Linked DNA regions of Sus scrofa. The protein of the gene in region 3 interacts with the protein of the main gene of each other region in a pairwise test. Links are inferred from orthologs where the notes say so. Each region holds a gene or a part of one and is shown on either strand. Other genes may lie near its edges. The genes, in order: STX6, VAMP4, STX4, CYBRD1 and BET1.

Evidence for each region.
Region 1: the proteins of STX4 (region 3) and STX6 interact in binary tests that used the Homo sapiens proteins (3 or more experiments, as listed by UniProt). The two-hybrid records come from large-scale screens. The link is inferred for Sus scrofa from reciprocal best matches to the Homo sapiens genes STX4 and STX6.
Region 2: the proteins of STX4 (region 3) and VAMP4 interact in binary tests that used the Homo sapiens proteins (3 or more experiments, as listed by UniProt). The two-hybrid records come from large-scale screens. The link is inferred for Sus scrofa from reciprocal best matches to the Homo sapiens genes STX4 and VAMP4.
Region 4: the proteins of STX4 (region 3) and CYBRD1 interact in binary tests that used the Homo sapiens proteins (3 or more experiments, as listed by UniProt). The two-hybrid records come from large-scale screens. The link is inferred for Sus scrofa from reciprocal best matches to the Homo sapiens genes STX4 and CYBRD1.
Region 5: the proteins of STX4 (region 3) and BET1 interact in binary tests that used the Homo sapiens proteins (3 or more experiments, as listed by UniProt). The two-hybrid records come from large-scale screens. The link is inferred for Sus scrofa from reciprocal best matches to the Homo sapiens genes STX4 and BET1.

The regions. Positions count from the first base shown.
Region 1 is NC_010451.4:122,576,099-122,582,831, reverse strand, and holds the start of STX6 (syntaxin-6), read left to right. Parts: upstream 1-2,258; 5' UTR 2,259-2,465; coding exon 2,466-2,500; intron 2,501-6,733. UniProt on the Homo sapiens protein: SNARE promoting movement of transport vesicles to target membranes. Targets endosomes to the trans-Golgi network, and may therefore function in retrograde trafficking.
Region 2 is NC_010451.4:114,171,070-114,178,070, forward strand, and holds the start of VAMP4 (vesicle-associated membrane protein 4), read right to left. Parts: upstream 3,900-7,001; 5' UTR 3,744-3,899; intron 3,662-3,743; exon of another isoform or gene 3,573-3,661; intron 3,218-3,572; exon of another isoform or gene 2,989-3,217; intron 478-2,988; 5' UTR 425-477; coding exon 359-424; intron 1-358. UniProt on the Homo sapiens protein: Involved in the pathway that functions to remove an inhibitor (probably synaptotagmin-4) of calcium-triggered exocytosis during the maturation of secretory granules.
Region 3 is NC_010445.4:17,420,195-17,426,283, forward strand, and holds the end of STX4 (syntaxin-4), read right to left. Parts: intron 6,075-6,089; coding exon 5,966-6,074; intron 5,895-5,965; coding exon 5,818-5,894; intron 4,323-5,817; coding exon 4,185-4,322; intron 2,721-4,184; coding exon 2,610-2,720; intron 2,512-2,609; coding exon 2,431-2,511; 3' UTR 2,413-2,430; intron 2,320-2,412; 3' UTR 2,072-2,319; downstream 1-2,071. UniProt on the Homo sapiens protein: Plasma membrane t-SNARE that mediates docking of transport vesicles. Necessary for the translocation of SLC2A4 from intracellular vesicles to the plasma membrane.
Region 4 is NC_010457.5:77,688,490-77,693,634, reverse strand, and holds the end of CYBRD1 (cytochrome b reductase 1), read right to left. Parts: intron 3,530-5,145; coding exon 3,375-3,529; intron 2,515-3,374; coding exon 2,214-2,514; 3' UTR 2,119-2,213; downstream 1-2,118. UniProt on the Homo sapiens protein: Plasma membrane reductase that uses cytoplasmic ascorbate as an electron donor to reduce extracellular Fe(3+) into Fe(2+).
Region 5 is NC_010451.4:73,781,505-73,787,787, forward strand, and holds the end of BET1 (BET1 homolog), read right to left. Parts: intron 3,350-6,283; coding exon 3,293-3,349; intron 1,756-3,292; coding exon 1,600-1,755; 3' UTR 653-1,599; downstream 1-652. UniProt on the Homo sapiens protein: Required for vesicular transport from the ER to the Golgi complex. Functions as a SNARE involved in the docking process of ER-derived vesicles with the cis-Golgi membrane.

The DNA.
Region 1 (6,733 bases), on a different chromosome or scaffold from region 3:
CTCATTTCTTCCCCTCCAGCAATGCCCTCTGCCACGGCTGCCCTCCAGGCTGCCACGCTGTCTCCTGGCTGCCCCTAGCCATTGTTTAGAACCCACTCTCCCCCCCAAACACAAATAAACTGGTAGCTTTTTTCTGCGTTTCTATGGCGACCCATGCTCTTTTCTCATTTTGTATAATGGCCTGTCTCTCCCACCAGTCTGAGAATTCCTTGATGGCAAGGACCAAACGTGTTCATCTCTGTGTCCTCTGTACCTAGCGCACAGTAAGAGAACAACACATGCCAGGCACTGTTCTGAGCGTTTTTCAGACATTAATTCATTCAGTCCTCACGCCACTTTATGAGGGAGGTGTTTTGTGGTGTCCATTTCATAGTTGAGGACAGAGACTAAGCAGTTTGCCCAAGGTGCAATAATCAGGAAGTAGCAGAACTGGGATTCAAACCCAAGTAATCTGGTTGCAACTCTGGATCTTAATCACCATTCTCATCTCAATTTCCATGTGTTTGTTGAATGAATGAAAGATGATCCCTTTTCAATTCCTCACCTCAATATGTTCAGAACTGAAACAGTTCTCTTCCAGGAGGGTTCCCCCCCACATCTGACCTCCATCGCTCCTCCAGGGTCTTGGAGAAGCCTGGAGTCTTTGACTTTTACCTCTTTCCTCCCTGATCCCATTCAATCTCTCATCAAGTCTAGTTGTTTTGTTTTGTTTTTCCTTGGAAACATCTATCAGATTCTCTCCTTCCTCTCCATTTACAATCCCTGCTGTCCTGGTCTAGTCCTCATCCCTTCAGGTGAGATGACCACAGCAGCTTCCAGACTGGTTTCCCTAACTTCACTTCCTCACTCTGTGGGAGACTTGGGGTTTCCAGGCTTTTTTTTTTTTTTTTTTCCCCTTTTAGAGCTGCACCTGCAGCACGTGTAATTTCCAGGCTAGTGGTCGAATAGGAGCTGCAGCTGCTGGCTTATGCTGCACTTCAAGGCAACTCTGGATCCTTAATCCACTGAGCGTGGCTAGGGATGGAACCCACATCCTCATGGATACTAGTTGGGTTCTTAACCCCACTGAGTCACAACAGGAACTCCATCTAGCCATTTTTATTTAAACTTCACAACAATCTATGAGCTAAATATTCATATTTTATAGATGAGAGACTGAATAACAGAACCCAGGTTCAAACAGGGTTTGTCTGGCTCTGAGGACTCTTCTATCTTCAAAAAGACTGCTAACTTTAAGCCAGTCACTTAAATTCCAAGTCTCAGATTTCTTATCTGTATAATGGGGATTACAACATTGTGAGAGCACCTGAGATAAACTAAGCTCAGTGCCTGCCACACAGTATGTGCTCAATGATAATCAGCAATTAAAGTTCGCAAAACCCATAGACTATCTAGCGTATGAGTTTGATAAACTGTTCTGACCAAAAGGCTTCCTGGAAGAGCTCTTGAACCACTTAGCTGGTAAGAAGTTGCCAGACCTGGCCCCTTCTTTGTCCTTCAAAAATGCTCTCTTCCAGGAAGCACCATATGCTGTATGAAAAAATTATCTTACTGATCACTTCAAGAACACAGAAAAGACAAAAAACGCAACACACACAAAAACACATCCTAGCCTGGTGGAAAGTGCACAGAATCTGGGGCTCTGCCCTGTCCAGGTTGTGTGAGCACAAGAAATCTTGAAACCTATATGAATTTTTCTAATCTGCAAAATGGGAATAATAATACCTTCCCCTCCAAGGATACTGAGATAACTCACAGCCTTCAGCGTCTTGCTGGGCACTATAAGACCCACAGAAAGGAGTTGTGCAACATTATCAGAGTCAGATAAGGTAGACGAGCTTTATTCTAAGTCGAGGACGAGATGGATTTCTAAATCTATATGTTATCAAAATAAGTATCAAAAGGAGAGGAAAGGTGAAAAGATTGTGCAAAGCTGATACTATCTCCGTATCTAGGAAACCTGACTACCTTTCTTGCCAGGGAACAAGCAGCTCCTCCCCCTGAATCTTGAGAGGTGAGTGTTGAGAAGACCCGCCCTCTCCGCCGCCGCCAGAGCCCCGCCTCCAGGGTCGAGTAACGCAAGGCCCAGGCCCTGCTGATGGGGGGTGGGGGGGGCTCTGGTCACGTGAGCGCGAGTGCGGAAGTGGTGCGGCTGACGGCGTTCGTGATTGGTCGAGGCTGAGGGACCTGGGGGCGGGGCCAAGCGGCCGGACGCGCCGGGAGGAGCCGAGGAGGGGGCCGCGCCGGGGCCGGCGCCAGAGTCACGGCTTCGGTCTGAGGTGCAGACAGAGTACTGGACCCGCGGCGGGCCGGTGCACCCCTGCCTGCGCGCGCAGCCGCTACAGGTCCCGCAGGCCGAGACGCGGGCTGCTGCGCGAGGCGGGTGGGGTGGGCAGAGGGAGATTGGGAGGGCGCGGGCGCCCTGTGCGCAGAGCAGGCGTGAGGCGGCCGGGGGCCGGGACGCCATGTCCATGGAGGACCCCTTCTTTGTGGTGAAAGGGTGAGTGTCGTAGGGGGCTCCACTGGAGGAGGCGGCGGCAGTGCTGCCTGCCCTCACCTCCCCGCTTTTCTCGCTCTAGGGGGAGGGGAGACAAGTAGAGTCTGGCGTGGGGACCGCTTAGCCTTGAGGGCTATGATAAAGCGTCCAGAGACATCCCCTCTTCGTGCTACCTGGACTTTGAAACCGTGCCCCCAGTCAAGCCCCTGGGGAGGGGGGGGGTCTCCTTTGGCTTGTGCGCCGTTCTACAACTTATGGAGGGGTGTCGAGGGGTTCAGCAGCTCCTCAGGTGGGGAGGGAGACAGGCGTCCCAGACCAAAGTGGGGCTGTAGTGGAGCACCGGGCCCTGCTTTGAAGGGGGAAAAACAGCATCTGGGCAGGAAAAGGGAAATGGGCCTCCTGAGCTTTGTAGTTGGCGTGGACGGGGGTGAGCTCCCATTGTCCATTGAGTTCGGAGCGCTGGCCCGCTGACTGGCGAGACCACAACAAGCCCAGAGGCGTCTGAGCACGTTTGCAGGCTGGGAGGCGGGGGCGCGAGGCTCCGGAAGACAACTCTATTCAGTGGGGGAGTTTTTACCGAGTAATGGGAGGGGAGGAAAGCTGCTGTTCAAACTCAGTGGTGATGTTGGAAGGAAAACAAAATGAAATCAGCCAAACCAAACTTTCCTTAGCTTTCTGTTAGCACAGGGATTTTCCCACAGTGCTAAAGGAAATGAGTGCTTTCTTTTTAACTCCCTGATTTCATCCAGGCTATTTGACAGGTTTCCCCCATTTCTTCTTTTTTCTGCCTTTGAGACTAGAGCTGTCCTAACTTATTTTTCCCTAAGAAGTGTCGTGACTCCATCTTTGATTGCTCAATTGTTTGTTTGGAGATAGAAGCTTTAACTGCACTCTGTTATATAGGCTTTGTAGCCATTAAACAAATGCAGAAAAGATTGATTCTGTTGTTATAACTTGTCAGCTTTTGTTTTAAATGTCAAACAAAACAATCTGAGAACTGCAACGTTCTGGAAAAATCAGTGCCAATGACCTTAAAGTGCCTCTGCTTTCAACTAGTTGCTACTAGCTTCCTATTTCTGTAGGGGTAAAAGTTGACCAGTTGCTTGAGTGTTATTTTTTTTTTTTTACGGTTCATTTTACAAAATTTAAATGGTACTTTAAGTTAAATACTTTATTACCCATGATACAGTTAAATATATTTATGTATTTCTAACATTGCCTTTAAAAGTTTTTTTTTAACCTGACTTTAATATAAATGGAAAAACGCTGAGTTTAGATTATTGGTAATATGTGGCTCTCTACCTGGAAAATGTGTGGTTTATTAGGATTGATTTTTAGGGGATAATTTTTAAATGTGAAAACTGTTTTTTCCTTGAGTGAACGTTCTTAATGCTTAGGGTTGCAAAGGTTATCTCTGGCTGTGGAGACTGTAGATAATCAGAATTTTAAAATTTTTAATGGGATTTGTGAAAATGCAAAATTGTTTTGCCATCTTGACTTTTTTTTTCTTGATGGTAGCCAGTGCAGTTCACCAGTGCTTGCTCACTGATTAGATATCACTGCTTTATTGGAACATTGGCCTTGAGTCTTGCTTGACTTTGACATCATTTTAGCTCATGTTCTTAAGATGTCAAAACCTTCTGCTTTGTGGGAGTTCCCGTTGTGGCGCAGTGCAAATGGATCCAGCTAGTATCCATGAGGACATGGGTTCCATCCCTGGCCTCACTCAGTGGGTTAAGGATCTGGCATTGCTATGAGCTGTGGTGTAGGTCACAGATGAGGCTTGGATCTGGCTTTGTTGTGGCTGTGGTATAGGCCGGCACCTGTAGCTACAATTCAGACCCCTGGCCTGGAGGGAACTGCCATATGCCACAGGTGCAGCCCTTAAAAGAAAAAGAAAAAAAACCCTTCTGCTGTGGAAAAGTAAAATTAGCTACATGAGTGCCTCCACAATGTGTGAGGGAATGTATGGAGCCATGTATCTCTGCTTATTGAAAGTTTTGAAAATGCACCCCACGATGTGGAAAAATTAAAGATGCTTGAATTGTGGCCCTTAGCCTAGGAGCTGGTAGTCTAATCTGAAAAAAACTTACCCCCAAATTAAGTAGAAATGACAGGTGGTAAGTGATCAAATGCTGTAGCCTAGGAGCTGGTAGTCTAATCTGAAAAACAACTTACCCCCAAATTAAGTAGAAATGACAGGTGGTAAGTGATCAAATGCTGAAGTGAATGCTACAGAAGATTAGGTGCCCCAGTAGTCCGGAGAAAGGCATCTCATTAGGAATGGCTGTGGTTGGAAAAGCTTTGGAGGTAGTAGTATGTCTTAGGTTTTGAAGATGGGTAGCTCTTAGATAATTCAGCCTGTGTCTCTTCTGGACTATTGGCAAGAAGAGTATCCATTTGGTCCTCTTGCTCCCAATCCCTTTCCTCTTTCATCTATCTTAGTTCTGCTGGCTGGGTGCTCTCCAGTATGCCGGTGTGAGCCACACATGCCGTGTTACATTGCCTAGTAGATGCAGTAAAAAGTAAAAGACAAGTGAAATTAATTTTAATGTCATCTTTAACCAGTATACTCAAAATATTTCAACATGTGATGAATATAAAGACTGTTAATGAAAGATTTTTCCCTTTTTGTACTACGTCTTAAAAATCCGGCGAGTATTTTGTACTTAGAGCACATCTCAATTTGGACACTAAATTTTCATCAGAAACACTTGATCTTTATTTGGAGTTCATTAAACACACAGTTCAAAGTGCGGATTGATGTACCCAGATTGTTCCACGTATACTTTCAGAATTTTTGGTAGCTGAAGTGTATATCAGTTTTTAAAGTTAAATTAAAATGTAAAATTTAGGAGTTCCCATCGTGGCTCAGTGGTTAATGAATCCGACTAGGAACCATGAGGTTGCGGGTTCGATCCCTGCCCTTGCTCGGTGGGTTAAGGATCCGGTGTTGCCGTGAGCTGTGGTGTAGGTTGCAGACGCGGCTTGGATCCTGCGTGGCTGTGGCGTAGGCCGGAGGCTATAGCTCCGATTCGACCCCTCGCCTGGGAACCTCCATATGCCACAGGAGCGGCCCTAGAAAAGGCAAAAAGACCAAAAAAAAAGAAAGAAAATTTAAAATTTAGTTCCTCGGCCACACTAGCCTGCTTCAGCAGCCTCATGTGGCTTCCATATTGGGGGCAGCACAGGTGTAGCTTTTCTAGAACCCATGCAGGAGTTCTCTCCTTAACATCATTTAGTGGCAGTCTGTTGCCTATAGAGGTAAATCTGAACACTTCGGGATGCAGCCTTTCTCCACCCTTGCTCACTCTGCCTGCCTTTAGCATGGAGCTCTGGCACTGCCAGACTCAGTCTAGTGACTATGACCACAGTACTGGGTGTTCTTACTTTGCCTAATTCACCCACTCAGCTTTTTGGATTCACTGTGAGCATCTCACTATCTCCAGGAAGTGCTTCCCTTGGCACCTACAACACATTATTGCACCTCTTCCTCTGGCTGTCTTTCATTATAAGAGTGTGAGGTCTGAGGGTCTGCTTGTTTTTCCCGTATTTCCAGCCCAGCACTTTGAGTATATAGCATCAGTGTTGAATAAATTCTCCTTGGTATTGGTGGTTCGTGGTGGGAACACTACCGGCAGAGGCCTTGAAACAGGCAACGTGTGTTTAGAAATCAAGGAAAGCATATTTGGGAAGGAAGTATATTTGGGAAAGTAATGATGATAATAATAGGAGGAAACTCCTATGCCAGGCATTGTGTGCTAAGTAAGCACTTTATAAGAATTTTCACTTTAGGAGTTACCGTCGTGGCTCAGTGGTTAATGAATCCGACTAGGAACCATGAGGTTGCGGGTTCGATCCCTGCCCTTGCTCAGTGGGTTAAGGATCTGGTGTTGCCGTGAGCTATGGTGTAGGTCGCAGACGTGGCTCAGATCCCGTGTTGCTGTGGCTCTGGTGTAGGCTGGCGGCTACAGCTCTGATTCGACCCCTAGCCTGGGAACCTCCATATGCTGCAGGAGCAGCCCAAGAAATGGCAAAAAGACCGAAAAAAAAAAAAAAAGAATTTTCACTTCATAAGAACAGCTCTATGATGTGGGTATTACCCCCATTTTATAGGTGAGGAGCTGAGGGAGTTGAGTTACCTCCCCAGAGTCACACAGCTAATAAGTGGACCCAGGAGTCAAATTTCAGCTGCCTAATTCTACTTACACTGTTAACACTTCACAGTACAGGTGA
Region 2 (7,001 bases), on a different chromosome or scaffold from region 3:
ACGTGCATTTACCTTTGTAAAAATATGAAAAATTCTGGGAAACTCCACATTTGGCTCCAGACTTGTAAGATATTGTGTATTTGTACAAAATTTCCTTGAAAAGACTAGAAAGAAGCTGGAATGTAATTTGGTGAATAACGGAGTAGAATTTGGTCGGGTCCCCAGTCTAAGTAATATACACTTTTTAATGCTTATTATGACAAAAACAAATAGGATTAGAATATGACCATAAATGTTAACTTTTTCTAAAACAAATTATTTACAAAGGAAAGATATTTGAATCTTTCTTTTTTAAAGACTGACTCTGAACTTATCCTTTCAAATCAACTATAATAAAAAAATTTTTTAAAAAAAGTACCCTTTCACTTTTCACAGAACCAGTGACATCATCATCATTTAGGTGGCGCTTGAACTTGGGAGGCATTTTTCAAGTGAAGAAGTACTCTTCTACTTCCCAGCAGATTAAGTCTTCACCACCTTAAAGAGAACATAACTTTCATCAGATTTGAAGTTTTAGGATATAAGTACTGAAAACAGCATACAGGGCCCCTCACTACTCTAATTCTCTTTTAGTGAGCTGCTTAATGATTCAATTTTCTCATCTGTAAAATACTGATTTCTAGGCTTCTGCACAGTCAGAATGACCAAATCAGATTAATAAATACATGCAAAAACATTCTGTAAATTATAACTTTGTTCTGTTCTAAAGCATGACACTAGGTGCCCCAAGAAAAGGGATAATGGAGTTCCTGCTGTGGCTCAGTGGGTTAAGAACCTGACTAGTACCCATGAGGATGGGGGTTTGATCCCTGGCCTTGCTCAGTGGCTTAAGGATCCGGCATTGCCACAAGCTGCGGTATAGCTTGGAGATGGGGCTCAGATCTGGTGTGACTGTGGCTGTGGTGTAGGCCAGCAACTGCAGCTCCTGTTCAACTCCTAGTCTGGGAACTTCCATATGCTGCATGTTTGGCCCTAGAAAAAAGAAAAAAAGAAAAGGGATAAGTTTGAAAGGATTGGTTATACAGAGCCAGGTTTTGTTTTGTTTTTATTTTTATTTATTTTATTTTTTGTCTTTTTCCCTTTTCTAGAGCCACACCCGTGGCATATGGAGGTTCCTTGGCTAGGGGTCTAATCGGAGCTACAGCTGCCGACCTACACCACAGCCACAGCAATGCTAGATCCAAGCCACGTGTGTGACCTACAGCACAGCTCATGGCAATGCTGGATCCTTAACCCACTGAGCAAGGTCAGGGATCTAACCTGCAATCTCATGGTTCCTAGTCGGATTCGTTAACCACTGAGTCACGGTGGGAACCCCTGTTTTGTTTTTATATATGGCCACACCTGCAGCATATGGGATTTCCCCGGCCGGGGATCAAATGTGAGCCACAGCTGCAGTGTATGCCACAGCTACGGCAATGCCGGATCCTTTGACCCACTGTGCTGGGCCAGGGACTGAACCCGCATCTCCACAGTGACCTAAGCTGCTGCAGTCAGGTTCTTGACCCACTGTGCCACAGTGGGAATTCCAACAAAGTCAATTTTTTTGTTTGTTTTGCTATACAAAGTCTCATAGCCTTTTATATGCTAACATGCCCTGTGATTTTTTTTTTTTCAGGAAAATGCTTGAGTATGCAACATATTCAAAATTTTCTTGAGGAAAAGCTGATATATGAAAATATGAGTTTTTAGTATGATGGACTAGAAGATGGATAGATGAGAAAAGCTAAGGTGTACTGAATGTTTTACTATGTGTTAGGCACTGTGTTCAGTGATTAACACATATTTTCTTTTACTCTTTACAACATGCCTGGGAAGTAGACACTAAGAAACCAAGAGAAAACTAAGGCTTAGTAAAAGATAAGCAACTAATAGTGTTAATCGCTCTGTTGATTGAAACAGCAGAAACACAGGACTAAATTAACCAACTGCTGTGTATGATTGGTTTTAATGATCCAATTAGTTATCAGGTTACACACAGTTCTGTTCTGGAAAGACCACTTTCTTTTAACAACCCAGCAGCCCCCTTTTCCTTTCTATAAGAACACCCCTAAGATCTTTAAGTAGACATCAGTTTGTTGGTTAATATTACACACTTAAAAAAGAATAAACATGCCCAGAGTCCAGTTTCATAAACTAAATAAAGTAAAATTTTAAGTTGATTTCCCATCAAAACAAACTGATAAACACTTTGCTTTGGTATGAGACGATTTTCCAAACCAGAAACTTAAATCACCTGTAACAAAAACCAAATACTTGCTACCTAAGTTAATAGCTCTAGAGTTCTTCATTCCACAATATTTCTGTCACGTACATCTGGCATCTGACCCATTTATTCCTCGTACTTTGATTTCAGAATAACTCATTCAAGCAGAAATGTTACAGAATGCATGGAGAAACAGACAAGGGAAGCTACTGAAGCTTTTCTTTTAATTATATCTGTATTTTATTTATATTTTAAATCCTACAAAGGGGCTACTGCCATGTTCAAAAGCAAGTAACAGGCAGACTTACATAACATCTTTATGAAATATACAGTAGAGCTACAAGTTTAGTGATAAGCAAACCCAAAATCAGGTCCCATAATCCAAGGATCAGCCTCAGGAAGGCAAGAAATCACTGACAAACATAAAAGCCATCAGCAAAAGAACAGGCAGACTAACTGCTTGATGAACCACAGAGCAATTGGTATTTGTACCAAACAAGTAGAAGTAAACCATGCTCAGAAATTAGACTTATACATATTCTTTCTACCTAAGATTTCTCCTGCACAAAATACATATGAATTCAGGTGTTTGTGTCTAGGTATAAATGTAAAGAGCGCCTTCATGATGTATCTCAACACTGACTGGAGACACCAACACATTTTTAAAATGTCACATCACCATATGCTTTTTATGTCATCCTACGTTTACAATTTCATGTATGTATTTTTGAAGAGGCAGTACGTTCTGTATTCAATTGCTTTATACGTAATAAACTTCTAACCTGTTGTTTAATAAATGCTGTATTCTTTTTTGCTTTACAAAAACAAGCAAACCACAACTCCCAGTACTTCATTTCACAAAAAGCTTGAATCTGGCAGAGGCTTCCGTTTTCTCAGCCTCGTTCCCTTTCTGACTCCTCTTCCTCATCTCTCATCGACAGCCTGGTTCGTGCAGCTTCATGGAAATAACTGACTTGGTTGGCCAAAGCCTGGAGATATTATTCACAAAACCTGTCAAAGTGTAACATTCACCCCACCTTCCGGTCATTATAAATGTAGCGGAGTTGGCGCTCTCTCTCAAGCCTTTGAATAATGAAACAAATCCGTCTCTCCAGCAAGCAGCACTGTTCACCCCCTATACTCCATCGGTCGCACCAGGCCACGTCCCCCAACATCTGCTCCTACCTCTAGTCCTTTCTGCCCCAAGATACCTGCTCACACTCCGGGCTGACTCCCACTCTTCTGCAATCTTCCCCATCCTCGCCACTGTTCTCTTCCCATCTCCCCAGAGCACCCTACAATTCCTAATCTTCTCCCCCTTAAACCTCTCCCCCCCATTGCACACCCCAGTCCTTGTCATTCTTACTCAGGGCACCCCCGGTCCAACCCCTTTTCCCACTAGGGGTTCCCTCCACTACCCCCGAGGCTGGTCCCCCAGCCTGACGCGGACGTTGGGGGCGGCGGGGCAGGGAAGTCATCTCCGTTTCCTTCCTCCGCACATGAGCCCCTCCCTTCGGGACAAGGCGTGCGGCCGTACCTGAATCTCCCCGGTAGCTCTGAGCAGCTCTCCCGGGCGGGCAGCTCTGGGCGGGCGGGGGAAGGAGTGGGAAGCGGAGGGAGAAAACAGGGAGGGGGATACAGTGGGCGCGGACCCGGCGTCAGCCGCTCCGCCGCAGCTGCGCCCCCGCTCATCGAGTCGATCGGCGCTCCGCGTCCCGGCGCCAGGAGGAGGGGCGGGTCCAGGCCACGGAGATCATCGAGGGAGTCGATTCCGCGTGCAGCTTTCTATCCAGAGGTTTTTGCGGTCTCAGAGTTTACATCTGCATCCGCAGGATGGGCTTGTGCCTTAAGCGAGGAACAGTCGCGGGTTCCTGAGGTCCCAGCCGGGGTCGGGCGTTCAGGAGAGGTAGAGAAAGCTCTGAGAAGTCACCCAGGGGTGGGCGCTGAGGGCTTGATCCTGACTGGGGTTGATGAGGCGTTACTAAGATGGTGTTTTGTTGCTGGCTCCATCCCCTGGGCTAAGGAAGCGGAGCAGAAAAATGAGGATGGCTCAAAGCCCGAGGACCGGCTACAGCCTTTTCTGAAGTAACATCTGTGTGATCCCTTGTTTATAGAATCAGAGTTAGACTTGGAGGGAGATCTTAAGTGACCAGTCCAGTCTCCTTGTTTTAGACATTAGGAATCTCTGGTCCAAAGAGATTGACTTGAGGTTGCACAACTAGTTTGGACAGATCTGGGTCGAGGATTCGGTGTTCTTTCATCTGTTATTGTGGAGTCCTAACCTAAAATAACCGGGTCCAGACACCAGGTAGACACCAGAGCCTTCAGATTTGAGGTGGAAGATGACTCCTGCAGGGCCTTTCCACTGTTCTCTTGACTCCTCCTACCTCCTCTCCACCCAAATTAGTAGCATATTTAAGCCTGCAGTACCAGGGTTCAGTAATACAAAATAATTCTAGTTTTACCTTTGCTTTCCCTTATTTACCCATTCCTCCCACACACGCCCCAGCTGGATTGTTTTATCAATTTATTTCTACCAATTTGCTCCACTTTTTTTTTTTTTTTTTTTTTTTTTTACTAAATATGGCTCCTTTAATACAGTGTTTTTTGATTTAGTGTAATTTAAGCCAAACAAACACTAATTGAAATATACCTTAGGTAGGGTAATGACTCTCAGGTTAATGATGTAGAGAGTTGATTTTTTTTTTTTGGTTGGCGGGGCATGCGAAAGTTCCTGGGTCAGTGACTTGAGCCTCAGCAGTGACAATGCTGGATCTGTAACCCACTGAGCCATTGGGGAACTCCAAACTGAATCACCTGGAAAGCTTTAACAATGAGTGCCCATGCCTTTCTCTGAGATTCTAATTCAATTGGCCTGGGATGTTGAGAAACGGTGAGCCATAGGTTGTCAACCAAAGCTTCTGAAAGTCTGGTATTAGACTATCTGTGAGTCCACTACTCAGATCCAGGCTGACTTGGACTGAAATTGTCCACCTGGAAGGGAAGTTACTTCTACTATGTTTTTCTGCCTGGACATGAAGGTCAGACTACTGATACATAGATGACCCAGAAGTTTTTTATTTTTCGTTTGCCTTCTACGGTTGATTTTGTATCTGCATATCTGCTTGTTATTGGTACTTCCCTGCTTTGGTGACTCAGTCAATTAGAGCTTTAGCCAGTTACAGCCTCAGCCTTCTTACAGGACAGCTGAAGGCAATATGGTTATTGAGCTGGACTGACATGTCATTGTATAGCTTGTATGTATAAGCCATTCTTTTTGTTTTTAACCATAGTACTTTAGTTCTGCCAGATATTTTGGTATGATTGGTTTGGGAAAGGGTGATGCCAGCCCCACCACTCCATTGCCTGAACAAGCCCCTTTGATTATCCCCAACATTTCTGAAAGCTTAGAAAGTATCATTTTATAGTTAGTATGAATCAGATATGCCAGTTATCCTGAACGAATATAAATAGCCCTGGACCTAGAACCAGAATGGGGTTCCCATCTCAATAACTGGAATTATTTGATTATCTCCTACCCTATTTTCTCTTTCTTGAGCTCCAATTATTCACATATTGGTCCTCTAATTCTCTTTAAATTGTAGACCTTCATCCTTAACTGGGCCTGGTATCCTCCTAGACAGAAATCCTTTGTTTCACTCTTTCAAGACTAAGTCTCTTGGGACTGACTTGGAATAATCTATCTCTCTTTTTTTTTTTTTTTTTTTTTCGGTCTTTTTGCTATTTCTTTGGGCCACTCCCGCGGCATATGGAGGTTCCCAGGCTAGGGGTCAAATTAGAGCTATAGCCACCGGCCTACGCCAGAGCCACAGCAACGCAGGATCCGAGCCACGTCTGCAACCTACACCACAGCTCACGGCAACGCCAGATCGTTAACCCACTGAGCAAGGGCAGGGACCGAACCCGCAACCTCATGGTTCCTAGTCGGATTTGTTAACCACTGCGCCACGACAGGAACTCCCCTAAACTATCTCTTGATATGTTGTTGTTGAATGGTGAGACAAGCAAGATACAGAACAGTAGGTAGACTGCTTCCGTGTGAGCCACACACACACACACACACACAAACCAGGACTGGGAGTCTGGCATAGAAGGTGTTATGGACTGAATTGTGTCCTCCCCACCACCATCTCCATTCATATTTTGAAGCCCTAACCCAAATGTTACTGTGTTTGAAGATAGGGCCTTTAGGGAGATAATTAGATTTAAATGAGGCCATACAGGTGAGGCTTTAATCTAATAGGGCTGGTGTCCACACATGTGGGCACAGAGATGAAGCCTTGTAAGGACACATAGAGAAGATGGCTATCTACAAGCTGGGAAGAGAGTTCTTACCATAAATCAATGCTGGTGGCACCCTGATCTTGGACTTACTGCCTCCATAATTATAAAAAATAAAATTCTGTTGTTTAAGCCATCCTGTTCATGGTATTTTGTTATGGCAACCCCAGCAGACTAATAATAGAGAAGGGAAACCTTTCCTCCATGTGAGGCATTTTGTACCATTTGAATATTTTACCACGTGTACCACTTTTCAATTAAAAATAAAAAAAAAAAAAACCTACAGTAGAGGTTCTCTTTCCCACTGAAATCGGGACCAGTTGTCGGTCAGTTAATTTAAAAAGTCACTCATGTCTGGTATCTAATATACAGCACAAATGAACCTTTCCACAGAAAAGAAAATCATGAACTTGGAGAATAGACTTGTGGTTGCCCGGCGGGGGCGGGGGGGGGGGGAGAGTGGGAGGGATTGGGAGCTTGGGGTTAATGGATG
Region 3 (6,089 bases):
TTTCCTCTGTGCACAGGACAAATGATCTCAGGCAGGACGAAGGCGTGGGTACCTTCCCAGACTTTTCAGGCAGCGAGGGAGCAGGAACCCGCCCTGCCTTCTCACGCGAGGTCCTGACTCCCTACCCGTGACCTGCTCTCACCGCTGGCCGCCTCCCGCCTCTTGGAGTTTTGATCAAGGCCCTGGCGCTCTGCAATCCAATCGCATTCCGGTGCGTCTGTGCAGAGGCTCTGAGGCCCCGCCCATATCAGCGTCCTCTAATTGCTCACTCCTTCAGGACGCCCTAAGGACCAATCCTGATGCTCTTCAGGAACAACATTTAGGTCCACTGGCCAATCATTTTCCAGGTGGCGACCGGGTCACCAACACCCCCTCTGGCACGCCCCGCCCCGTACAGTGTACCCTCGGACTTCGCGCAGGCACCATGCAACGGTGCAACACGTCCACAGGGAGGCGCTGTAGGCGGGCGCCCAGCCGCGAATGGAGGCTGAGCTGGCCTAGTGGCAGCGCGCCCCTGCGACTCTCTCTCTCTCTCTCTCTCTCTCTCTCTCTCTCTCTCTCACCCCTCCTCCAACCCGAGTGCAGGGGCTGGGTCCCAGTCTGCACCAAAGACAGCACGTGGCCAGCCCTTCCTGGACTCTCATCAGCCTGGCACCCACGTGTGTACCCGATGCAAGCGATATTGCGGCCCGATGCGCGCTGGGCAGCCAGGAGAAGCAGCGGCAACCTGTGGGATCGAAAGTGGGATGGGACTGGGCGGCTGGAACCCGGCCCCCAGACTTTGGTCGGGGTCAGGCGCCGCCCTACCACTACCAGGCTTAGGAGCCAGAAGCCAGCTTCCTGAAACCAGGGGTCTGAAGACTGGCAGCACATCCAGCTCCAGAACTAGGCAGGGCACCTGCAACTCTTCGAAATTTAAAGTCCGGAGCTCAGGTGAGTTATGGAAACCTGGGGTCAGGCTCCCCTGCCTCCTCTATCCTCTTCAGCCACAAGACCCCTGGGAAACAAGGTGAGCTGATCCAGGGTGGATGGCTCATTAGCCTGAACTCCTATCTAAAAGGCAATGCTTTTTCTGGGCACAGGGCCTGGCCTCCTGAACCCTCTGCCTGGCAACCTCTTCCCTGATTCTTCCCCTCCTCATTAAGCACCACACTCAAATATCACCACCTCCGAGACAGGCCCTCCCTGCCAACAACCATGTTCCCAGTGTAGCTCAGCAGTAACAAACCTGACTAGTATATCCACGAGGATGTGGTTCAATCCCTGGCCTCATTCAGTGGGTTAAAGATCGGGCATTGCCATGGCTGTGGCGTAGGCCAGCAGCTGCAGCTCCGATTCAGCCCCTAGCCTGAGAACTTCCATGTGCTTCAGGTGCAGCCCTAAAAAGAAAAGAAAAAAAAGTAAGACCAAAAAAAAAAAAAAAAAAAAAAAAAAAAAAGGAGTTCCCGACATGGCTCAGTGAATAACAAATCCAACTAGGAACCATGAGGTTGCAAGTTCGATCCCTGGCCTCACTCAGTGGGTTAAGGATCTGGTGTTGCCGTGAGCTGTGGTGTAGGTGGCAGACGCGGCTCGGATCCTGCATTGCTGTGGTGTGGTGTAGACTGGCAGCTACAGCTCCAATTAGACCCCTAGCCTGGGAACCTCCATATGCCGTGGGAGTGGCCCTAGAAATGGAAAAAAAAAAAAAAAAATTAACAGAGGCAATTATTTGTCACAGTGCCTCTTCTTGGCCTCAGCAGCGCCCTCAGATGCCACACACACACACTCAGCTCACCCGTGTCCAGCCTGGCCTGGCCCAGCCTCGCTGCTGTGGGGTTAGGTGGTCACGGGGTCTTTCCCCAGGGACAGTGGGTTGATGTGGGTGTTACCCCCTCCCGGCCCCACCTGTTCTCATGGGAGAGTAGAAGGGCAGTGGCAGGCTGGCATGGCCACAGCACCCAGGACAGTCTGATCTGAGGCTACCTGGGCTGGGCCTGTCCGCAAGGGTGGCCAGGAGGTGGAAGGCGGTGGAGACCTGGAGGCCCTGGACCAGCCTTTTCAGCAACACATGTGCAAAGGAGATTCTCCAAACTTTTTTTTTTTTTTTTTTAATTTCTTACAAAACCACGGGTCCCAGCCAAAGAGGACACGGCAGGCCTGCCCCCAGGCATGGTGGCCCAAGGGGGGGAGGCCCCATGGATGAGTGGCTGCCGGCCCTGGAAGAACCGTCTGCCCCTCTGGCCAGTGTGAGGAAGGGGTCGGGCTGGAGGCTCTGTCCTGCCCACCCCTGGCTTCGGGGAGGGAAGGCAGCCCCTGGGTCCCTGGTGCTCTTAGCGCCTGCAAGGGAAGGAGGGAGAAGAGGGTCTGAGGGGAGGAGGAGAGGCTGGGGGCAGGGAGGGGGCAGGCTGGGGGGGCCCCACAGAATCTCACCGAGAATCCACGATGCTGTCACACCAGAATGGAGACGCTAATGATGACCACCAGGATAAGGAGAGTGACGGACAAACAGATGGCGATAAAGACTTTCTTCTGTAGGAGAGGAGGAGGGGGGATGGTCGGGGAAACTCTCGGGGGGCGGGGGGAGAGAGCCCCCCCCAGGGCAGGGGAGTGGGTGGCGGGACGCTCACCTTCCTTGCCTTCTTCTGGTTCTCCAGGGCCATCTTGACGTGTTCCTGCCCACGTTCCACATAGTCTGCTGAGCTCAGAATGTTCTTCTCGATTCGGTTGATCATCTCCCCCTGCTCAGAAGAGGAGGGAGGGTTCAGGCGGGTAGGAGGGACTCGGGGTGGAGGCCCAGCAGCTCCTCTGTCTGCCCACCACAGCCCCAAGACTGAAGGGCGTTCCTGGCTGAAAACAGGGCACTAACAAAGGCATGGAGAAGTTCCCATTGTGACTCAGCGGGTTAAGAACCTGATTCGTACCCAGAGGATGCGGGTTCGATCCCTGGCCTCGCTCAGTGGATTAAGGATCCGGCGTTGCCGTGAGCTGTGGTGTAGGTCACAGATGCAGCTCAGATCTGGTGTTGCTGTGGCTGTGGTGTAGGCTGGCAGCTGCACCTCTGATTCAGCCCTTAGCCTGGGAACTTCCATATGCCCTGGGTGCGGCCCTAAAAAGACAAAACAAAAAACAAAAGTGGAGGCAGGACCACATCTGGCCGAAGTTCACACTCCAAAGGGGGCTTCCAAGCCCCCTTCTACCTTGTGGTCCCTTCTGCCCTGCTCCCTTGCCACCTATAGCCTCTACTGGCAGGGCTGGCTGGGAGCTGGGTGCCTTTAATGGCTCATATCTTTTCATGGAGGGCAAGCTTCTGTCCCCTCACAAATCAGTCTGAATTCACCTGTTCTAGGCCTGACTCCCAGCTGCTGTGAAGCTCCCTGATCCCTGTCTCCTCCCGGCACTGCCAGCCTTCAGGTCCTGGTGCTCCTGCTGAGCAAAATCTCTTCCCTGGGAAGAGCAATGGCTCCAGCACTCACGGGGTAAGAGCTCCTTCTGGACGGGGTTGGAAGCACCCCTTCTCTTATAGACCAGGGCTGGGAGAAGAACACCATCGCCCGCCCCATGCTTGTGCAAGTTCTGGGAGGCAGGTCCTCTGGGGGGCAGTTCAGGTGCTCTCAGAGGTATAAGGGTGGAGTCTGTTAGTGGAGGGGGAGCCAAAGTTGGGGCCATGCCCGAGGTGGGCTCAAGTTTGAGGACTGGGGTGCAGTGCACAGAAGAGTGGCCATCTGGGTAGCTGTTGAGGAGGATACGATTTTTCTTTTCTTTCTTTCTTTTTTTTTTTTTCTTTTTAGGGCTGCACCCATAGCATATGGAAGTTCCCAGGCTAGGGGATGAATTGGAGCTGCAGCTGCCGGCCTACGCCACAGCCAAAGCGATGCAGGATCCGAGCCGCATCTGCAACCTACACCACAGCTCACAGCATTGCCAGATCCTTGACCCATGGAGCGAGGCTAGGGATCGAACCCACATCCGCATGGATACTAGCTGGGTTCATTATCGCTAAGCCCCAGGGGGAACTCCTGAGGAGGACGCAATTTGGAGGCACAGCTAAGATGGAAGTACAGGCCAGTCTGGAGGAGAACAGAAGCCTCGCAGAGAGAGGCTAAGAGTGGAGGTGGGCGGACAGTCACAGCAGGGGTTCTGGTTGAGCAAGGTCTCACATGTGGGGGCAGGATCAAGCCCAGCCGGCTGCCTGGGGCGCCCACCTGCATCTCCACCTCCGTAGCCAGAAAAGTGAAGATCTCATGAAGTTCACGGATACTGCGCTCGAGCTGCTGGATCTCGCTGTGCCGGGCCGAGATCTCATTTAGAGCCTGTCGAGTCACCTGTGTGTCCTTCAGTATCTGGAGAGTGGACAGGGGTGGAGGGAGAGGTCACAGGGAAACCAGCCATAGGCTCAGAAGTTCATGGTGATGCATGAAAGTAAACTCAAAATGGCTTAAAGACTTAAATATAAGACAAGACACCATCAAACTCCTGGAAGAGAACAAAGGCAAAACATTCTCAGACATCAACCTTATGGCTATTTTCTCCCAAAGCAACAGAAATAAAAGCAAAAATAAACCAATGGGACCTAATCAAACCGACAAGCTTTTGCACAGCAAAGAAAACCAAAAAGAAAACAAAAAGACAACTTACAGAATGGGAGAAAATAGCTTCAAATGATGCAACTGACAAGGGCTTAATCTCTAGAATATATAAGCAACTTACACAACTCAACCACAAAAAAGCCAACAACCCAATGGAAAAATGGGCAAAAGATCTGAACAGACATTTCTCCAAGGAAGATATACAGATGGCCAACAAGCACATGAAAAAATGCTCAATGTCCCTGATTATTAGAGAAATGCAAATCAAACCTACCACGAGATACCATCTCACACCAGTCAGAATGGCCATCATTAATAAGTCCACAAATAACAAATGCTGGAGGGGGTGTGGAGAAAAAGGAACCCTCCTGCACTGTTGGTGGGCATGTAAGCTGGTACAACCACTATGGAAAACAGTATGGAGATACCTTAGATATCTATACATAGAACTACCATATGACCCCACAATCCCACTCTTGGGCATATATCCAGACAAAACTTTCCTTAGAAAAAACACATGTACCCGCATATTCACTGCAGCACAATTCACAATTGCCAAGACATGGAAACAACCCAAATGTCCATCGACAGATGATTGGATTAGGAAGATGCGGTATATATACACAATGGAATACTACTCAGCCATAAAAAAGAACGAAATAATGCCATTTGCAGCAACATGGATGGAACTGTAGACTCTCATGCTGAGTGAAGTAAGTCAGAAAGAGAAAGACAAATACCATAGGATATCACTTATATCTGGAAGCTAATATATGGCACAAATGAACCTTTCCACAGAAAAGAAAATCATGGACTTGGAGAACAGACTTGTGGTTGCCGAGGGGGAGGGGGAGGAAGTGGGGTGGATGGGGCGCTTGGGGCGCATAGATTCAGACTATTGCCTTTGGAATGGATTAGCAATGAGATCCTGCTGTGTGGCACTGGGAACTGTGTCTAGTCACTTATGAGGGAGCCTGATAATGTGAGAAAATAGAATGTGTACATGTACGTGTAACCAGGTCACCGTGCTATACAGCAGGAAAAAAAGTTGTATTGGAGAAATAACAATTAAGAAAAAAACAGAAAGAAGTTCATGGTGAGCCTTGGGGCAGCCCTCCGGCCTAGAACCGGGGCCAGGGCCCTGAGGAGTGATCCCAGGCAGGCTCCTTCATTCCCTTCTGGGCCTCAGGATTCCCTCCATGCAAAAGGGCCGGGACTCAGAGCGGACAGAAGGAGGCCGGCCACTCACGTTGGACACAAACACCTCGCTCTGCCCGCTGTCCAGCATCTGCTCCAGCTCCTCGTCAGACACCATGCCAGCATTTGCTGTGAAGGGAAAGGCCAGGCTCAGCGCTGGTCAGGTCACCTGACCCGGCAGGCCCGGCGCCGCAACTCACTGATCTTCAGCTGCCTCCGGATCCGCTCCACGTTCTTCTCCCGGTACTCGGACTGCATGGAGTTGCACTTGTTGATGAGCTCCACGAATTGCTGGGACAGGACCCCATGCTAAGGAGGGAGAAG
Region 4 (5,145 bases), on a different chromosome or scaffold from region 3:
AAAACTGTTTTGTCAAAGGAGTTTTGAATGGTTATCGTGAAGCTTAAGGGACATGATGGAGTGTAGCTGGTACTCAGTCTATGGAAGTAATTATCAGCTACTCTAAAAGGAAGTTCACTAAGTACCAAAAATGTTACGTTTATTTGGTGTAAACTGTGCAGTTTTTATTCACCTTAAAATGTTCCAGTTAAAAATTGCAGGGAGGAGTTCTCGTGTGGCTCAGCAGTTGAAGGACCTGGCATTGTCACTGCAGTGGCTTGGGTCACTGCTGTGGTGAGGGTTTGATCTCTGGCCCTGGAACTTTCACATTCCATGAGTATGGTTCCCCTCCCCCCAATAATAATAATAAATTAACTTAAGAAAATTGCAGGGTAACCAAAAATCAACTCCAAAGTGAAAAGCATCATTTCTGCATGGGTACTACTGTAGGTTTTTGCTTAAGTCAGCCCAGAGCCTAGACAGAGGTCTTCATGCATGAAAGTTGTCATTTCTGAGTCTCAATTCACTGCTGAGAACCCAAAGCTCAAGATATCCCCTAAAATTCCACCCAAGTCAGGAAGGACCCTAGCTTTTACACCTGGAGAAGGGCAGACAATGAAGTCATTCTCTCCTATCTCCAAACCCAGAGCTGGTCAGCAGCTAAGACCATGAAGAGTTAAAATTACAACTGATGAATCTTCGAAAGCTATGGATGTTCCTGCCTAAATCTTTCTTTCTTTTTTTTTCCCTTCTTTTTTGGTCACCCTGAGGCATATGGAGTTCCCAGGCCAGGGATCAGATCCGAGCCACAGTTGCAGCCTATGCCACAGCTGCAGCAATGCCAGATCCTTAACACACTGTGCTGGGCCTGGGATCGAACCTGCATCCTGGCACTGCGGAGACACTGCTGATCCAGTTGTGCCACAGTGGGAACTCCACTAAACCTTTCTTTTTCATCAAGATACAATTTGAAGATCAAAGGGGTATGAAGGTAAGCCGTGGCTGGTTGGCAGTGGCAGGGTGCCCATGAGGAAATTCCAGGTAAGGGTTGGCCCTTTGCCGTGGCTATTTGGAGACTCTGCCTTGGAATCAGAGCCAGAAGGTAAATTTTAACAACTCTATTGCACTCCAGCAAATGATGTTTATCCAGAGGGGGGTCAAGGCAGGTATAAATTAGTGCATAACAGCAAAAACAGCCTAGTGAAGTGGTTAGGATCATGGACCGAGGTGTCAAACTGCCAGGTTGTGAATCTTGTTCCAACATTTAAGAGCTGTTTGACCTTTGGGCAAGTTTCTAACCTTCCCCAGTCTCAGATCTCTCATAAGCAAAATGAAGATTTTAATAGTACCTACCGAATGAGGTTTTTCTAAGGATTGAATGAACTGAGATTTGTAAAGTGTTTAGTGTATTGTCTGGCATATAGTATGTTCCATATAAGTACTTTTTAAAATAAAACCAGAAGCTTGGGAAAAAGTGCTCTTTGAGGTTTGGAGAGCAGTTTATACTGCCTAAGCATGCAGGCATATTCTCATTCTAATTCGGTTTGAAATCTGAATCATAAAGTACACTAAACCCAAGGAAGCCTTGGGTGAAGTCAGTTTTGGGAAAATGTCCAGGTCCGATCAGAGGTGACCTGTTCAGCTACATAGGCCCAGTTACTTCCCCAAATGCCCTAAGAAAAACCTCAGTCTCCAGGGCCAATCTAAGGTCAAACGAGCTGGGGAAGGAGCAGAGGGCAGGCACAGGGAAAAGGGAACCGGTTATTCTCCTAAATTTTTTTCTGTGCTCTGGTCATATCTGTGCAGCATAAACCCTGTCCCAGATCTTCATGACCTGATTCCGAAACTTTAGAACTAGACTCCCAGAATTAACAGAGAATGACTGCGTGACAAGAGCCTGGGGAAGGTGTCAGTTTATCGCATTTACCAACTGATAGAAACATTCTCGTCATTCGTTCTACACAAGGCACGATGCTAAATGCTTTGGTCCTCAACAAGAAAGAGGTAACAGAACCCCAATTTATATCCACTGTTATTTACACTGATCATCTCCCTTTCAATTCAGGTTAAGTTCATAGGCCTCAATCAATACAAACATTTCCAAGAAATCCTACTTCATGATTAGAATAAATATTGGCTCTGTGGAGCTCAATCATCTAACAGCTGAATAGGAGAAGCTAAGCTCTAGAGCTTGTTTGAAAAAGCCATGTTACCTGGTTACCCCTCCACCCCATTTACATGGTGGATCTCTGTCCAGCCTCATCCAGGGCGAAGTTTCTTTTCCTTGCTGCTGCTTCACTGTTTAACTCTGAATCTGATTTGTCCATGTTGCCAAAGTTCACTGCCATGGTACCTTCGGCTCCCTCTGGAGCGCCTCCATTTGGGTGAAGAAGGACAGAATTTGGTTCCTTAGGACGTTTCCATTGCGGTCTGGTGACTATCCAAAAAATGAGAGCCCCAAACACCAGAACCAGAAGGCCGAAGGTATTTGTGAAAACACCTTCTGGTGGAAGGGTACTGTATGCAGGAGATTGCCTACAAAAAAGGAGAAAGTGTGTCCAATTATAGAGGGTGATACAACAACACGCCACAGAGTCTTGAATGTATCTGCTCAAAATACACACTGGTATGGCTTCAACATAAATCCCTTTAAGGCTTGATAATATGGAGAAATTTAAGTGAGGCCATAATTCACTCAATGGACTAGTATGAAATCATTAAAAATCATAAGTATGAAAATAATTTATTATCGGAGTTCCCGTCGTGGCGCAGTGGTTAACGAATCCGACTAGGAACCATGAGGTTGCGGGTTCGGTCCCTGCCCTTGCTCAGTGGGTTAACGATCTGGCGTTGCCGTGAGCTGTGGTGTAGGTTGCAGACGTGGCTTGGATCCCGCGTTGCTGTGGCTCTGGCGTAGGCCGGTGGCTACAGCTCCGATTCAACCCCTAGCCTGGGAATCTCCATATGCCGCTGAAGCGGCCCAAGAGATAGCAACAACAACAACAAAAGACAAAAAGACAAAAAAAATTAAAAAATAAAAAAAAATAAAAATTTATTATCTAAAACACTTGTATTACTTAAAATTGAAAAAAGGACACACAAACATATGCATGCCATAATTACAATTAATATAAAAACATGCACATCAAAAGGACTGCAAGAACATGCATAACTTTAATAATAAAGAATGGTACAATCTGTTCGACTGGTTTTTCTTCCAAGCATTATTAATGCTAAATTACCTGTATAATATATTTTTTAAAATAAATATTTAACCTTTTTTATTTTCAACCTTTAAAAATTTTGCTACATTTATATTATATTCATTCAATGAACAAGTATTTAACATTCTGTCACATAACTACTGCAATTAGGAAAACTATGAACAAACTTACAGGGCAAAAATCAGTTTCTCGGTCACTCCCATAAGTACTGTTGCAATCACTGTTCCAAAGATGAGAAGTCCAGAATAAACGTGTATGGGCATGAGAAGTGCTCGGAGAGAAAGTGGAGCCCAAGGAAGCAGAAAGACAAAAAAACCTAGAAGCAGCTAAACACCGAAAAGTACAAAGGTTATCCTTTATAAGTTTTAACTAATTTAAAAATTATCATAAAGAAATTGTATGAAATGAAAAAAATTTCGTGTAAAACTGGCACACACACACAAAAAACAAAAAAACAATGGCATAAGATGAAGTTTCCCCACTCCAGTTCCACTCAAAAGTGACGCCTACTATCACTTCCTCAAGTATCCTTCCAGAAAAATTTCTATGATGAACAAGCGCGTGCGTGCGTGTGTGTGTGCGTGTGTGTGTGTGTGTGTGTGTGTGTGTGTTTAAAGAGAGAGGGAGTTTTTTGAAGTGTAAGTGGCATTTTACTATATATATTTGTTCTGCATATTGCTTTTTTCCTTAGCAGTATATCTTAAGAGATATTTTCATATCAACACATGCTTATAATAGTTTATTCTTTAATGGCTAATGTTTTATGTTAAAACTCTAACTTAAATTATTCAGTTCCCTATCAATGGACATTTCCAGTTTTTTGCTGTCACTAACAAGGCTACAGTGAACATTCCAAACATTCTCACTTTTTTATTTTTATCCATTTCCTTCAGGCTGCCAAGTAGGAAGGGAAGACAAGATTTTTAAGTCACTAAACCCAAAACAATAGGACATATTTCTTCAGTTCAACATAAGAAAACTCTGTGGAAAAAACCTGAAAATTTTGTTTGACGAGGAAGAAATGAATTCTGCAGAAAATTCCATTTCCCTGATGATTAAATCTCTAGTGGGATAACTCTGCAGAGAAGACAAGATTCTTACATAAACTAAAGTCTGTGAATGCGCTCACAATTTTATTTTGTTGCCCCACATCCCTGTACATTAAGTACTCTCTTCTCCTCAAGAAAATGGAGATGACTTAGTGACCAATGAGTTACTGAGTTTAAAGGAACTTTTTTTTTTTCTCAGATAATCTCTTTGGGATCTAGCACCCCAACAAAACGACTATGAGAAGAGAGGAGAATGAGAGGAAACACTAGCATCGCTGTTCATTTTTCCTGGTTGAGATCAAAGGACTAATGGAGATGGAGAAGAATGAAAGCAGAAGGGGCATGATGCCCTGAAGCATATTTAGAATCAGCTTTTTTTTTTTTTTTCTTTTTGCCTTTTCTAGGGCCGCTCCCACGGCATATGGAGGTTCCCAGGCTAGGGGTCAATCGGAGCTGTAGCCACCGGCCTACGCCAGAGCCACAGCAACGCGGGATCTAACCTACAACACAGCTCACGGCAATGCCAGATCCTTAACCCACTGAGCAAGGCCAGGGATTGAACCCGAAACCTCATGGTTCCTAGTTGGATTCGTTAACCACTGCGCCACAGCAGGAACTCCTAGAATCAGCTTAAAGGCAACAGGGATGAATGGAAAGCAACTGAAAATGCACTGGATAAGCTGATTTGGATGTTTTACTGTCCATTAATACCACAACTCCTGAATATATTAGAAACAGTTCAGAGTTCCATTGGAGGTTCAGAATGTTCCTAATTCTCCTTCAGTGATCTTTAGTATTCTTTTAATATCAAATGGCAAGCATCCTGATGTACAAGTTGTGCTTTCTGTATAAAAATGTGTCTTTGGCAGGTGAGTGACTGCCAAAGATTTAGC
Region 5 (6,283 bases), on a different chromosome or scaffold from region 3:
GAAATTTCTCCTTAGAGGTCACATCATTACTTCAAACTTACTGTCTTGCCCTGAAATTAATTCCCTTTTCAGATGTGTTGTGTCCGTTAATGATCAGGAGAGCTAGCATTTATTAAATGATTATCATCTGTCAAGCACTTTCCAATACATTATCTTCCTCTCACAACAATCCTATGAAATAAATGATTTAATGAAGAAACAGGCTCCAAAATACAGAGCAAGTGAAGGAATGGAGATTTGAACCCAGGTCACGTAACTCAATCCAGTGTCCCTTACCTCACACCTCGGATTTGTCTCTCACATGCTGTCACTTAACCCCTTCACCTCTGGTATCTTTTCTGTTATGTAGAGGCCCAGATGGCCACAAATAGAGCCAGAAAACATAGGCCTAAATTGATAGGTAATTAGAGATGAACAAAAAGGACAGCAAATTCAGCATAAAGTTAATGGATTTATAGGTAAAATTAAAGAGATTTTTTGAAACTACTGCCATGATTTATCTCATTTGTTTGAAGCAAGTCCTGAAATAATACAAATATGTTAAGCTTCCCTAAGTTTGTTCTGAGTTTTCAGAACCAATTCTCAGAGTCTATGAAGAGAGAGGGAGAGAGAGAGAGAAAAACTTGAACAAAGAAGTCACAAAGTCAATTAATATATTTCATTAAAAATTTTATTTTTGGAGCCCATAAATGGTCAAATTCCAAAATAATACCAATACAGAGCATTTAATATTTTATTATCTCTTTATACTTAGCAGTCCACTTTTGCATTTTGTTTTCGATAAACAAACACACTGCATTAAAGTAACAATACTCTTAACCCTAAATTCAATGCTTGGGTATGTCCAATATTTATTCTAAGCAGCACATAATAAAGCAGAGGCAATTAATTTTCTTGAACATTTTATTTCCACATTAAGCTCAGCAATTGCTTTAGCTTCACATTATTCTGTAATGTACTGGTACACCTGTTTTGGACCCTATTAGAAGAAATAATGCCAAAATAACAAGTTTTATTTAAGAATGAGGTCCTTGGGCAGAGAAGAAAGAGGTGTCCTATCATCAAAAATTATTAAAATTGTATGTAAAAAGAAATAAGCCCTACAGTTTTTAACCAAATAAAGGAGAAGAGAGGGAGAGTACATCACTGGGGGCAATGACAGTTCAGGAAAATACATTTACCATCCATCACACACTTGCTCACCACTTCAAGTGCCCGCTGTCAGGCTCTCAAGGCATTCTGTTATTCTCCCACTAAGTTTCTTTACATGGAACAGAAACCTACATTTATGGTAATGACAAAATACTATACTGCTATTTAATCTGACAGTAAAAAATAGGAAAGAAAAATGTTAGGGCCAGACTGACCTCAGACCAGCTTAATACCCCTGAAAATAGGGGCAAAAAAGGAATCATTAAGAAACAGTATTCAATGAGCACTGTATTATCTAATGTGACTTACAAAACAAGTAAAATTCAATAATCTTCAATGGAAAAAGCCACAGTATTTGAAAGTTAGGAATGTTTAGATGCTGATTTTTTACCAAAGTGGTACTCCAAGCCTAAGTTGGAACAAATTCCAAACTCACACTTACTTGCATCACCTCAGTTTAATAATCCAATAAATGACAAAAAAGACAAACAAGGAAAACAGCATCATATAACACAGCAGCTTTGTTTGGCTCCCTCTGGATAAAATCTTCAGTTTTCCCATAGTTTTACCTAGAAATCCAGTTGTAGAATCAAACTGTGAATCCTATGAGGAGAAAAGGAAAACAAAATATAGTAGTTAGATTCTGATATTCTACATATGCACATGTAAGGAATTTAATATATTGTTATTAGAACACATTTTTAATGACATTTTCTGTGTTTAATTAATTCAAGAGCCTGTTTATAACTTAGATAATCAGCCTGATTATGCAAAATAGAGTAATTTTCTCAATAAATAAAAAGCTCTTTCATCATCCAGTAAATATTTTTTCCAGCTTCAAAGTAATTCAAAATTCCAAAGTATTTAGATCTTACTCTAATTACGTGGATGAAAAAGCATTAACAATAAAAGCAAGTAGTTCATCTACCCACACGGGTTTTTTCCCACTTATTGGTAGGGCATTGCTCTTCAAGGTCAAATGGCTAGCTGCTTCCAAGTACAGCAATTCATCCAAAATTAAACATGGTTAGCAGCTAAACATACCTTTACTTTTAGATCCTTTTTTCAGGTAGCTGACGTTGAAGGTCAGCAGAGTCTATTAACAGGTAACAGAATATTCTAGAGGTGGTAAAATGTGGCAAAGATGGCAAATATGGATGGGGAAAAACCACCACATTAAAACATAGCTGAAAAAGTCCTTAAGAGGACCAGGTATGGATTAGAAACATTGCCCTTTCAAATAAATCTTAACATCCTGGCATAATGACAACCTTTGTACAGCTCAGGTTCTATGTAGTTCAAGCACCTTAGATCTATGGTTCCTTATTGGGGTTATGTATCAGAAGCATCTGAGATGCTTTTTTCAAAATATAGACAACTAGGTACCTCCCTCTAAAATTCTGAATCAGTGTGTTGGTTTGTTTATTCATCCATTCATTCTTTTTAGGGCCATATCTGTGGCATAGAGAGGTTCCTGCTGGCCCAGAATGAGAACTCCTGAATCAGTATATTTAGAGTGAGAACCACGCATAAATATTTTCAGAAAGTTCCTCAAGTGATCCTAATGCACAACCTTTGCAAGGAGATTGCTTTTAGTGCAACATACATTTTTAAATAGTATAAATTTTAAAAGCATGTGAGGAAACTAGGGAAGGTCCACAGGAGTTTGACATCCAAAATAACATTAGAGAATGGAAAGCGCCTCTAACAAGAAATGGTATATGTTATTGAGCTTGTTTAGACTCCAGATAAAAGGCTTGTTTAGACTCCAGATAATGTTACTATGTTCAAATCTTATTGACTTGTTCCAAGTGATCCTCAGGAAATCAAGCAAAAGAAAGAGGTTTACATTAAGTGAAAGTCATTTTGTTGGTTGGATATAAAGAACTTTTGAGTACTTGGCAGTCTCCATCCACTGAGATCTTTAAGAAAGCTCAAAACAGAGATTTTTCCTGAGTCTAATTCTGTTTCTAAACACAGGATTAAAGAATACATGGGCTTCCACCTCCTCCTCCTGCTTATATGTGTTAGGCAAGATGAAAAGTGTAAAAATATGGCAAAAACAAATCTTAGATCTATTCCAAACCAAAATTGAGACTATCAGATGAAGTTTCCTAATGTTAAAATCATAATCACTTACCATTTCAGCTAATAATTTATTTTGATGTTTAACTTCATGGCCTATTTCAATGGAAAGCTATAAAGAAGAAAGCATATACATTTTTGCTTATATAAATGTTTTAGGTATTATGAAGTAAAAACAATGATGTCATTTGAAGCATAAACATTTTCTCAAATAAAATCATATTCTAAAAATATAAAATATACCTGTCTTCTTTTGATATTTTTCCCACTGAAATTAATGGAAAATAAATTTAGAATTTCTATTCCTTTCCCACTATGGACATTGTCTCCCTGTTCTTCATTTTGATTTCATCTAATGTTTAAGTCTATCTTTTGATTTTGGTACATACTTCTCTCTGGTTCTCTTATCCTTACATTCTTGCTCTCTTTATATTATTAATACAACAGCACTTATTTGCATATTTATTTGTTTACATTTTAAAAATGCATACAAGTTCCCATATTATCAATTCAAATCCAGATATAAGTAATATTTTCCTAAAGAAATGTGACAATATTTTGAATATATATCTAAATTAATTATTAGATTCTAAAGGTATTTTCTTTAAAGTATGATAAAAAATTGGAAAAAAATTTTACAAGCTGGTGTTATCCATATCCAGAAGCTATGCAGAACAGAGGTTGAATCTAAATGAAATAAGTGGCTACAACTACTAACCAAACCAAACACTTTATATGACAAATTCATCAAAGGCTTCACTTCTAAGATATCTGAATAAATATACTATTACTAAATCTTGGAAACTACTGAAAATTTTGGCAAACCATTGCAAATATTGTCAACTTATTTTGTGTGGAAAGCATATGGGGTAATATTTACCCAAAACCACTGTAGAATTCTATATATCAGAATATGAGCTTTTTCTTCAAATTCAGCAATTCAGGGAAAATGAAGCATCTATAAAGCTAGACAGTCCAAATCACTTAATTCAGCTGTCATTTGTGCCAAAGAAAGAAAATTTCAGGGAAAACAAAAGCTTTCTTCTAACAAGGAACCAAAATTATCAATGTTAATTTTTTAAAAAATCATTTAATTTCCTCTAAGTAGTATATTTTCTAAATTATTAACATTGTTTAGTTCATAGATTAACTCCTTTTGATTTAATATGACCACGAAAACAATACTCATGTCAGAATATGAGTCTCCAGGCTGAACACAATTCTATCTTCCAAAGACTATGAAATACCAATTAAGTTTTGGCAACATAATCTTCCAGTGAATGCTCTATAGTATATAGCATCTTTATTTTAATGCAGAATCAATCATATACACTGTTAAAACTAGCTTTTTGCAATTCCTTTAATACATATTAACTCAATATGACTATAAGGAATTATGTTAAGTGCTATGTAGAATATAAAACTAATTACAATAGAAAACTCTATATTCTTTTTTTTTTTCTTTTTTTTTGTCTTTTTGCCATTTCTTGGGCCGCTCCCATGGCATATGGAGGTTCCCAGGCTAGGGGTCCAGTCGGAGCTTTAGCTGCCTGCCTACGCCAGAGCCACAGCAACTCGGGATCCAAGCCGCGTCTGTGACCTACACCATAGCTCACGGCAACACCAGATCGTCAACCCACTGAGCAAGGGCAGGGATCGAACCTGCAACCTCCTGGTTCCTATTCAGATTCGTTAACCACTGCGCCACAACGGGAACTCCGAAAGCTCTATATTCTAGTCAATTTCTTTTACATACAAGTAATTCCAATGCAGATCATTATGCAATAAGTCCTACAGAAATGGTATGAACAGTCTTGTGTTCATAAAGAAAAAGGTACCTTGATGTGGTGATTAGGTAAAGCTTAGAGCAGGAGCCTTTCAGATGGGCAAGACTTAAGTGAATGTCAGGAGGGAGAGGACACCTAAGGAAAAGGAATAGCAGGACCAAAGATATGGGAGTGGGAGAGTGACAATCTGCACAGGGCACAAGGAGGTCTCGAATCTGTCTGGCAGAAAGCATGCACACATTCTGGAAGTATGGGCGGTAAGGTCTGAAAAGGTGTGGATGATATTTGCAGAACCTATGTGATCAAGCCACAGAGTGTGGACTTCAACATCATGGGAGGCCACTGAAGATTTCTGGGAGCACAGGGTGCAATTTTAAAAATACTCTAAAAGAATGACAGAGTATAGTTCAGTTCAGAACATGCAAAAAATTAGGAACAGAGAAGTTAAAAGGCTTTCCCAAAGTTCACCTAAGAAAATCAGGGGATACTATTAGAAATAGAGAAGATGAAATAGAAACAGTAGAAAGAAAGGTGCATAGGACCTGGTGACTGACATGAGGTACAAAGGCAGAAACATGAAAGACTGAGATATAAAGCTTTTGAGATGAGAAGAAGAAGACTCAGAAGACAAGCTGCTTGGGGGTGGAAGGTGGAATGCTCTGAGACATTACTACAGACATACAGCATTTTAGATTTAGCTACAAAGAACAGCTGAAGTTTAAAGAAAATAAACAAATGTACCATATGTTTTTTGTGTGTGTTGTTTTCTTTTTCCTTTTTTAAAAAAAAAGTTCACTGAAGTACAGTTGATTTATAATGTTGTAATAATTTCTGCTGTACAACAAAGTGATTCCATTATACATGCATGCACATCCATTCTTTCAGATTTTTTCCCCACATGGATTATCACAGAATAATGGGTAGAGTTCTCTGTGCTATATATACTATATGTTTTGATTGGCCACATTTTCTAAACTTGTACTAAAATCATGTCTAAATTTTGAGTCATGTTGCTGAAACTTTGGAAAACAGAATTATATTCAGCCTGGAGACTGTTACATTCTGAAATGAGCACTGTTTTCAAGGTCATAGTAAATCAAAAGGATGTAATCTATGAACTAAGCAATAGTGTATGTTAATAATGTAGAAAATACAATATTTAGAAGAAATTAAGAATTAAATGATTTTTTTTAAATTCCAATATTGATCATTTAGGCACCTTGTCAGAAGAAAGCTTTTTTCTCCTGGAAATTTCTTTC